Linked DNA regions of Rattus norvegicus. The protein of the gene in region 1 interacts with the protein of each later gene in a biochemical or structural test. Links are inferred from orthologs where the notes say so. Each region holds a gene or a part of one and is shown on either strand. Other genes may lie near its edges. The genes, in order: Rnf181 and Itga2b.

What was found.
Region 2: the proteins of Rnf181 (region 1) and Itga2b form a complex in vitro, tested with the Homo sapiens proteins (2 studies listed by BioGRID). The link is inferred for Rattus norvegicus from reciprocal best matches to the Homo sapiens genes RNF181 and ITGA2B.

Annotation. Positions count from the first base shown.
Region 1 is NC_086022.1:105,976,589-105,980,992, reverse strand, and holds the start of Rnf181 (E3 ubiquitin-protein ligase RNF181), read left to right. Parts: upstream 1-1,492; 5' UTR 1,493-1,546; intron 1,547-4,404.
Region 2 is NC_086028.1:87,922,928-87,927,271, reverse strand, and holds the start of Itga2b (integrin alpha-IIb precursor), read left to right. Parts: upstream 1-1,438; 5' UTR 1,439-1,470; coding exon 1,471-1,658; intron 1,659-3,611; coding exon 3,612-3,733; intron 3,734-3,821; coding exon 3,822-3,919; intron 3,920-4,022; coding exon 4,023-4,185; intron 4,186-4,344. UniProt on the Homo sapiens protein: Integrin alpha-IIb/beta-3 is a receptor for fibronectin, fibrinogen, plasminogen, prothrombin, thrombospondin and vitronectin. It recognizes the sequence R-G-D in a wide array of ligands.

The DNA.
Region 1 (4,404 bases):
GAGCTCTCATCTGGGCAAGATGAGAGGCCCTGCCTCAAAAGAGAAACAATGGTTAAAGAACTGGCCCAGAGATTAAGAGCACCAGCTGTTCTAGTGGACCCAGGTTCAGTTCCCGGCACCCATATGGCAGCTCACAGCTGTTTTTAACTCTAATTCCAAAGGATCTGACACCCTCACACAGCCACACATGCAGGTAAAAAAAACACCAACAAGCATAAAGCAAAAGTAAGTTCAGCAAACAAACAAACATGAAGTTTAAAAAAAAAAGGGCATATTGATCTTTGGAGGATCCAAGTTTGCAAGTTCAATTCCCATCTCTCAGGTCAGGCACTTCATAACCACCTGTAAGTCCAGCTTCAGGGAGATCATCCTCTATGGGCACCTGCACTTAACACACACACACACACACACACACACACACACACACACACACACACACACACACACACACGGTCTATAAAGTAAAACATTTAAGAAAAGCAAGAAACGGGGTTGGGGATTTAGCTCAGTGGTAGAGCGCTTGCCTAACAAGAGCAAGGCCCTGGGTTCGGTCCTCAACTCCGAAAAAAAGAAAAAAAAAAAAAAAAAGCAAGAAACATGTCAGAGAGATAATCCCATGAAGTGTTTGCCTTGTAAGCACAAGGACTGGCATTAATCCCATCTTTAAAAGTCAGGTGTGTGGACCAATGTGATAGCAATAACTTTTGATTCAAGCACTGGCAAAGTGGAGACAAGCAGATCTCTGTTAGATTGAGGCTAGCCTGGTCTACGTAGTGACCCTTTCTCAAAAACACATCAACAAGCAAAACCCCCCAATGTGGTGGTCTTCTTCTTCTGGTGTGGTACTTCCAGAATTGGGAAGGCAGAGAGAGGCAGATTTCCTGGGGTCACTAGCCACCAGCATAGGCGAGCTCTAGTCCAAGAAGAGATGTCTCCAAAACAAAACAAACAAACAAAAAAGTGAGCTGGAAGTAAAGCCTGTGGTGTCACAGGTGGGCTGGTATGCTGATGCATGCCACGAATCCCAGAACTTAGGAGGCAGAGGCAAGTGGATTTCTCTGAGTTTGAGGCTAGCCTCAGCTACATAGTGAGAAGCTGTCTTAAGAAAAGAAAAAAAGAAAAGAAAAGAAAACGAGGGGTGGGGTGGAGAACAGAAGAGAAAACAGACAATTCCTGAGTGAACAACAACTGAGGTGGATCTCTGGCCTCCAAACATAGATGCACACACATACATGGATATGAGTACATGAGTACACATATATACATGAGACAAACATGACAAGGGAAGGGCTTTTTGCCTGGCATTTCTTTCTTCCTAATTTCTTAATCTTTGTCTTATTCTTTTTTTTTTCTTTGTCTTATTCTTAGTTGAACGTTACATATCCCCACATTACACCCAAAAGCCTTCAGTGCTTCCATGGTGCTATAAACAGAGTCATAAAGGAAAGAATTAAAGGATTCCAGTGTTCCAAGTTACACAGGACAAGGCCAATGCCTTCAAGGTCATAGGAAGGATCACTCATGGGCTGGCACGATGGTTTGGCAGGTAAAGGTGCTTGTTGCTAACGATTACTGGTTGGGGCTCTGTATGTGTGTGTTGCCAATTTGACAGAAGCTAGAGTCATCTGGGAAGAGGGAACTTGGATTGAGAAGATGTCTTGATCAAATCATCCCGTAGGCTATCAGTGTAGCGTTGTCTTGATTGATGACTGATGTGGAAGAGCCCGGCCTACCATAGATGTTGCCACCCTGGACAGGTGATCCCAGGTTATATAAAAACCAAGCTGAGTAATCCATGGAAAGAAGCAAGCTTTCTATGCCCTCTGTTCCCTCCTACAGGTTCCTGCCCTGACTTCCCTCAGTGATGAACTGTGACCTGGAAGTCATAAGATGAAATGAGCCCTTTCCTCCCTCAAGTTGCCTTGGGCACAGTGTTTATCACACCAAGAGAAACCTACCTAGGACACCACACCTGATGAGCTGAGTTTGATTCCTGGGACCCACATGGTGGAAGGAGGGAACTGATTTCCAAACTTGTCCTCTGACCTTCACATGAGTGTTGATGAGTGTTTTGGCATGCATGCACGCACACACACACACACACACACACACACACACACACACATTTAAAAAAAAAGCACTGCTTAAAAAATAAAACAATTGTTTATTGGGCTAAGAAAGACAGAAGGCCTGCAAGACGTATTTGAGTTACTTTTCTTTCTTTCTTTCTTCCTTTCTCTCTTTCTTTCTTTCTCTCTTTCTTTCTCTCTTTCTCTCTTTCTTCCTTCCTTTCTTTCTTTTTAAAATTTATTTTATGTATATGAGTACACTGTAACTGTCTTCAGACACACCAGAAGAGGACATCAGACCTCATTACAGATTGTTGTGAGCCACCATGTGGTTGCTGGGAATTGAACTAAGGGTCTTTGGAAGAGCAGTTGGTGCTTTTAACCACTGAGCCATCTCTCCAGCCCCTCTGTCCCCTTTTTGTGAGACACTGTCTCACTCTGAAGCTCTGGCTGTCCTGGAACTCACACTATAGACGAGGCTGGCCTTGAACTCACAGAGACATGCCTGTCTCTGCCTTCCTGAGTGCTGGAATTAAAGGTGTGTGCCCCTATACTAGGCTTATTTGGGTGACTTCATTGCAGCTCAAACAAGTGTGAAGGGCAAGGGAAATTCAATGTCAAGTGTATAAAATAAGTAGGGCTTGCTAGGTGAGGGAGGGTTACCATGAAAAGCAAGAAAGGAGACTGAGAATTGTTCAGAGCTTAACCCCTTATAAGGATTAAATGTCTCACGGTCTTTAGAAAACTTTTAATATTTTAAAAATATTATAAAATGTTGAGTCTCTTTAAAATATCCAAAGTCTTTCACTGCCAAATCAAAATAAGTTACATACTTTCTTTCTCATGGCTTTATAAGTTCATACTTAGAGGGAAGAGCCAGGAAAACATAATGACGATTAAATCAGAACCCACATTTGACACCGTCTAAAGTCCAGTGCTTGATGTCTGGGACCCACCCACAATCACCTGGGTTCCAAAGGGCCTGTGAAACTTGGGTTCTGCAATCCACAGTCCACATAGCTCATCTCTCAGGCTCAGGCTGACTTCAGTACACAGCTGCTGCCGCCCTGGGCAGTCATCCAAGCCCTGGCATCTCCAATACTACGGGATCTCCACCTATGATCTTAACCAATGACCTCTCGGCCTCCCTTCAGGGACTCTGATCTTGTCACATGGATCTAAGCCTCAGCCACTCTCCAAGACTCCTTCAGTCTTCAGAACCAGCTCCATTTGGGTGATCTTTCCACATTCCCAAGTTTGGCTGCCACCATGAGTTGCACGCTCATGGGGACATAGCTTTTATGTGCTAACTCCAAGGAAATACTCCCAATTTCACTTCACTAATGCCTGTCTCTTCTTAATCACTGCTGATTTCTCAGCTCTAGCTAACCAGCATGGGTTGTTCTAGGAGAGCTAAGGGTTCACTTTTTAATGGTGCTGGCCTTTTCACAACCATGGTTGATTCTTTAGCCTCAGCTGCCCAGAGCCACAAGTTCCCACAACAGTTCATTAAGATCCAAGCACTTGGGCTGAAGAGATGGTTTGGCAGTTAAGAGCACTGACTGCTCTTCCAGAGGTCTTGAGTTCAATTCCCAGCAACCACATGGTGGCTCACACCCATCTGTAATGGGATCAGACACCCTCTCCTGGTGTGCCTGAAGACAGCAAGATCTAAGCCCTTGAACAACTTCCCCAGCTCATTTCCAACATCCTCCCCAACTTCCTAAGAATGATATGTTCATGTCTGTTGCAACAATACTCCAGTCCTGGTACTAACGTCTGTCTAGTTTTCCTTTCTGTTTGGTGTGATAAAACACCATGACCAAAAGCAACGTGTGGAGGAAAGGGTTTATTTCATCTTTTTTTTTTTTTTTTTTTTTTTTTTTTTTTTTTTTTTCGGAGCTGGGGACCGAACCCAGGGCCTTGCGCTTGCTAGGCAAGCACTCTACCACTGAGCTAAATCCCCAACCCGGTTTATTTCATCTTATAATTGTACTCCATCATGAAGGTAAGTCAGGGCAGAAAGTCATGGCAGGAACACAAGGCAGGAGCTGCAGCAGAGGCCATGGAAGAACACTTCTCACTGGCTCTCTCAACCTGCTTTCTTCTATACCCCAGGACCTCCCCTGGGGTGTCCCTGCCCACAGTGAGCTGGGCCCTTCCATATCAGTCATTAATCAAGAAAATGACTAGGCCAATGGAATGAAGGCATTGTCTCAGTTAAAGGTCCTTCTTCCCAGATGACAAAAAGATAACAAACATACAGGGTTTATTACTTTTTTTTTTTGTTAGAGGCAGTGTCTCCCTAAAAGCCCAAGTGGTCTCTTAATTCTGA
Region 2 (4,344 bases), on another chromosome or scaffold:
TATTGTAACGCAAAACAACTCATGTCATGTGAGTTCATATTGGGCTACACAGAATAGACCAGCGATGCAGGAACCACTCATCTGGGAACAGCGGGGAGACAGAGGGTCAGCAGGTGCTGGTATAAGACTGCAGGCCTGTCATGAGCTTGGCACTGGGGGCACATCAGTGAGGAAAGCCCTGAACAAATCCAAGGAGCTTTTTGCTTAATGAGGGGCAACATCTTCAGCTGTGTGAGAGGAAGGGAGGAGTCGGGAGTTGTTCAAAGTTGGTAGGGCGGGAAAGTGGGGTAAGGCAGTGGTTAATCAGAAATAAGGGTGGAGCTTGGGGGGCATGGCTGGGTGATAGAGCACTTGTCCTGCGTTGATGAGGCTATCCCAGCACTGCAGAAAAGGAGAAAAAAAAATACAGACTATATGTGGCTGTATTCCTACATCCCTTTGCTTTGGGGCAAAAGGCGTGCAAGGCCAACAGGGCATGGAGCTCTGTTCCCCTTCCCCCCCCCCCCATATAGAAGGGGATTCTGTGGCCCTCACCCCTTTGTGGCCCTGAGAATCTGACCCCTCTCCCTTTGCTCCTTCCACCCTTGAGGAAGACCAGTCAACCTTTCAGCAGCAACTCATGCCAGGCTGTGAGCTAGGCCCCGGGACAACAGAAAGGACCCTTGCTCTCAAAGGATTCAGGTACTCAATTCAGTAAAAAAGTGTCATCAGGTACTGTGCCTGTGTGTGTGTATATGCCAAGGACTGAGGACTCAGGAGCTTTCTCCTAGACAATCTCAGAACGATGTCATCTCATCCCACTTAGGCCACGGCCATTCACTGCCAATATTGAAGGTGCCAGTGTAAACGCACCAAGACCTGGTTAAGATGGAGATGTGAGGAAACCAATGGCCAAGTGGGGCTGCCTGAGGCTGCCAAAGGCTTGCAGAGGAGGAAGCCGATAAATGTCCTACTCAAAATGATGACAACCTCGGGTTTTATCAGGGGAGAGCAGCTTCCTTTACCCCTTCCTCTCCCTCTAGCCAAGTCACAGTGTTCAGTGGTCAGCTACATGGGGGAGACAAGGACAGTACAACCGTGGGCCGTGGTGAAGTAAGACAGAGCTGTGAATTCATGTTTACACTTTCCCGGGCGGAAAGAGATGGTGGCCTGACTTTCACAGTGACAGAGGAGGAGAAAGGGGATTTCTGGGCCTGTGGCTGAGAAACTGAAACTACAGGACTTGGAGAGGAGCTTTTCTGGAGAGAAGGGAGAAGCAATGACTTCCGGTCATCAGCACCTATCCCCGGGACAGACCCTCCCTTTCCTAGTAGTCCTAGAGACCGTGTGGTCCAGAGGCTATTCCCCTCTGCCATGCCTGCTGCTAAGCCATGAGCTCCAGTCTGATAAGCCGAAACTTCCGGTGGTGGGGACTTGAGGGAAGGGGAAGAGCTTGACCATTCCTGCTTAGGACATTTGGGGAGAAGGAAGATGGCCAGAGCTTCATGTGCGTGGAATACCCTGTGGCTTCTGCAGTGGACACCACTGTTCCTGGGACCAAGTGCTGCTCCTCCTGCCTGGGCCTTGAACCTGGACTCTGTGAAGTTCTCTGTCTATACAGGCCCCAATGGCAGCCACTTTGGCTTCTCAGTGGACTTTCATAAGGACAGCCATGGGAGGTGAGCACTAAAGGAGAGAGGTCTGCCCCTTAGCAGTGCTCCTGTGGCTTCTTAGCGCCTAGTTGAGCAAGGTTGACTCTAGGGTCTGTTTGAGTGGTGCTCCTGTCAGGAATGCTGGGGGCGGGGGCGCAGGTTCCAGGGAGGGCACTGTGGAGGGATAGCAACAGGGAGCACTGAGCAAACAAAGGTAAAAATGTCTTTTTCTTTTCCCCCAAGCGTCAATGATGTGACTCGCTTTACCTCCCTCCCCTCACTCTAAATTGACTGACTGGCAAAGCTACAAGTGCCTACCGGGTACACCTTGCTTTCCTCCATTCCTCACCTCATCTCCTTCCAAATTACAGATGTTTGAAAAGAAGTAATAAATTACTAACAGTCAGTATGGATCAGGCTTTGAGGTCAAACTGCTAAGATTAGAGTCCTGGCTTATCCACGTAGCTGTGTTTATCCTGAGTGACTTATTGAAATGGACACTGGAATGCCCAGGTCTGGGGAACAGTAATGACCATTCTCAAAGGCAGCAGCAAGAAATTATTTCTTCTGCCTGAGAGAGCCACTTCATCAAAAATCAGGTTCCCCTTCCCAAGATGACTTGCATCCAGAGACTCTCCATGAGGGGGAAGGAACCTAGGGTTGCCTCAGTTCTGATGATTATAAAGGGTGCTTCTCTAGCTGACCGTGGTAGCACATGCTAGTAAACCCAGTACTTGGAAGCTGAGGCAGGAGAACTACCACAAGTTAAATAGCCAGGGCCACATAACAAGATTCTGTCGGAATGAATAAATAGAACTCCTGAGCATGGTGCCATGCCAAACACCTTTCATCTCCTTTAATGGAAACAGAGGTAGGCAGTGCCCTGTGAGTTCGAGGTCAGCCTGCTAGTCTAAATAGTGAGTTCCAGGACAGCCAGAGCTACACACACACACACACACACACACACACACACACACACACACACAAAGAGAGAGAGAGAGAGAGAGAGAGAGAGAGAGAGAGAGAGAGAGAGAGCGCCTGTCTCAAAACAAATAAACAAAGCCAACCAAAGAAAATCCTCCTGGCTTCAGAGCTCCTGAGTGTTTCAATACAACTCCTGTCGTTTCTTCCTCTGTCTCCTGTTTCTTCCCTGAAGGTCTGATCACGCGGACACAATTTTTTTTTTCCGGAGCTGGGGACCGAACCCAGGGCCTTGCGCTTGCTAGGCAAGCGCTCTACCGCTGAGCTAAATCCCCAACCCCACGGGGACACAATTTAATAAGCATCCTGTGTGTTTATTAACATGCACACTCTTACAAAAGCATGTTGCTGGGGCATACTAAATACCTCTCATCCGTTTATTGTATTAACTCTTCCAACAGCATAATTGGTTGCTATTACCTCCGTTTTACCTATGGCAGACCTGGTTTAAACAGAGACTGCTAGGATCCTCAACCCTGTCAGCACCACACATCCCAGTTCGCTCTCACCAACCTCCGCCCTTCCAACCAGTTCTCACTAGGTCCTCTCTAGAAGTTTGACAGGCAGAAATTTTGTCTGGTTCTTGTTGGGAGGGAGTAGGGGGCAGGAAATCAGTGTACAAAGTATAAGAGGTCTTTTCAATAAGGATTATTAAAACGTTCCCTTCCAAACCGAACCAACTGGTTTAGTCTCAAGTTAATTTCCTAAGAGTCCACTTTCAGCTGAAGTGAAGAGGTCGGCCTCAATAGGTTATCTGTGAGGAAAGATGGTCCACTTTTTCCTATGCCACACCTCCTTCTAGGTACTGCTGGGGTAGTGGGCACTGGGCAGGATAGAAATGCTATAATCGGGGCTGGGGATTTAGCTCAGTGGTTAGAGTGCTTACCTAGGAAGCGCAAGGCCCTGGGTTCGGTCCCCAGCTCCGAAAAAAAGAACCAAAAAAAAAAAAAAAAAAAAAAAAAGAAATGCTATAATCTACTCACCCAGCTTTCCTAACAGCGTGTCCATCGTGGTGGGCGCCCCCAGGGCCCTAAACGCAAATCAAGAGGAGACTGGAGGTGTGTTCCTGTGCCCCTGGAAGGCCAATAACGGCACATGTACCTCGTTGCTTTTCGACCTCAGTGAGTCTCAACCATGGAGGGGAAAGGGGGAGTCAGGTGGAAATGGATGGCCGGGCTCCTGAGCGCCACCTTTTCTTGTGCCCTCCAGGGGATGAGACGCGAAAACTAAGCTTGCAAACTTTCCAAACCTTCAAGACCGGGCAAGGACTTGGGGCATCGGTCCTCAGCTGGAATGACGTCATTGTGGTGGGCACTGTGGACAGGTCAAAGGGAGCAAGTCCAGGGCAGGGACACGTTGGGGGAAGCCCGAATAAGCTCCCTTCCCCACTCTCCTGTGGATCTGCTCTAGGCCTGTGCCCCCTGGCAGCACTGGAATGTCCTAGAAAAGTACGATGAGGCAGAGAAGACTCCGGTAGGAGGCTGCTTCGTGGCTGAGCTCCAAAGCGGGGGCCGCGCAGAATACTCGCCCTGTCGCTCCAACACCATGAGCTCCGTTTACTCACAGGGTTTTAGTAAGCGCTGGTCCGCCATTGGCTCCGCCCACTAGTCGCTGCAAGCCCCGCCCACCACCAAACCTCGCGTCCTGGGAGCCACGCCCTCCTCTATACCACGCCCCCTCGGCCCCTCCTCTATGCTCTCCCCGCCCCGCATAGTTCCGCCTGCCCGCGCGA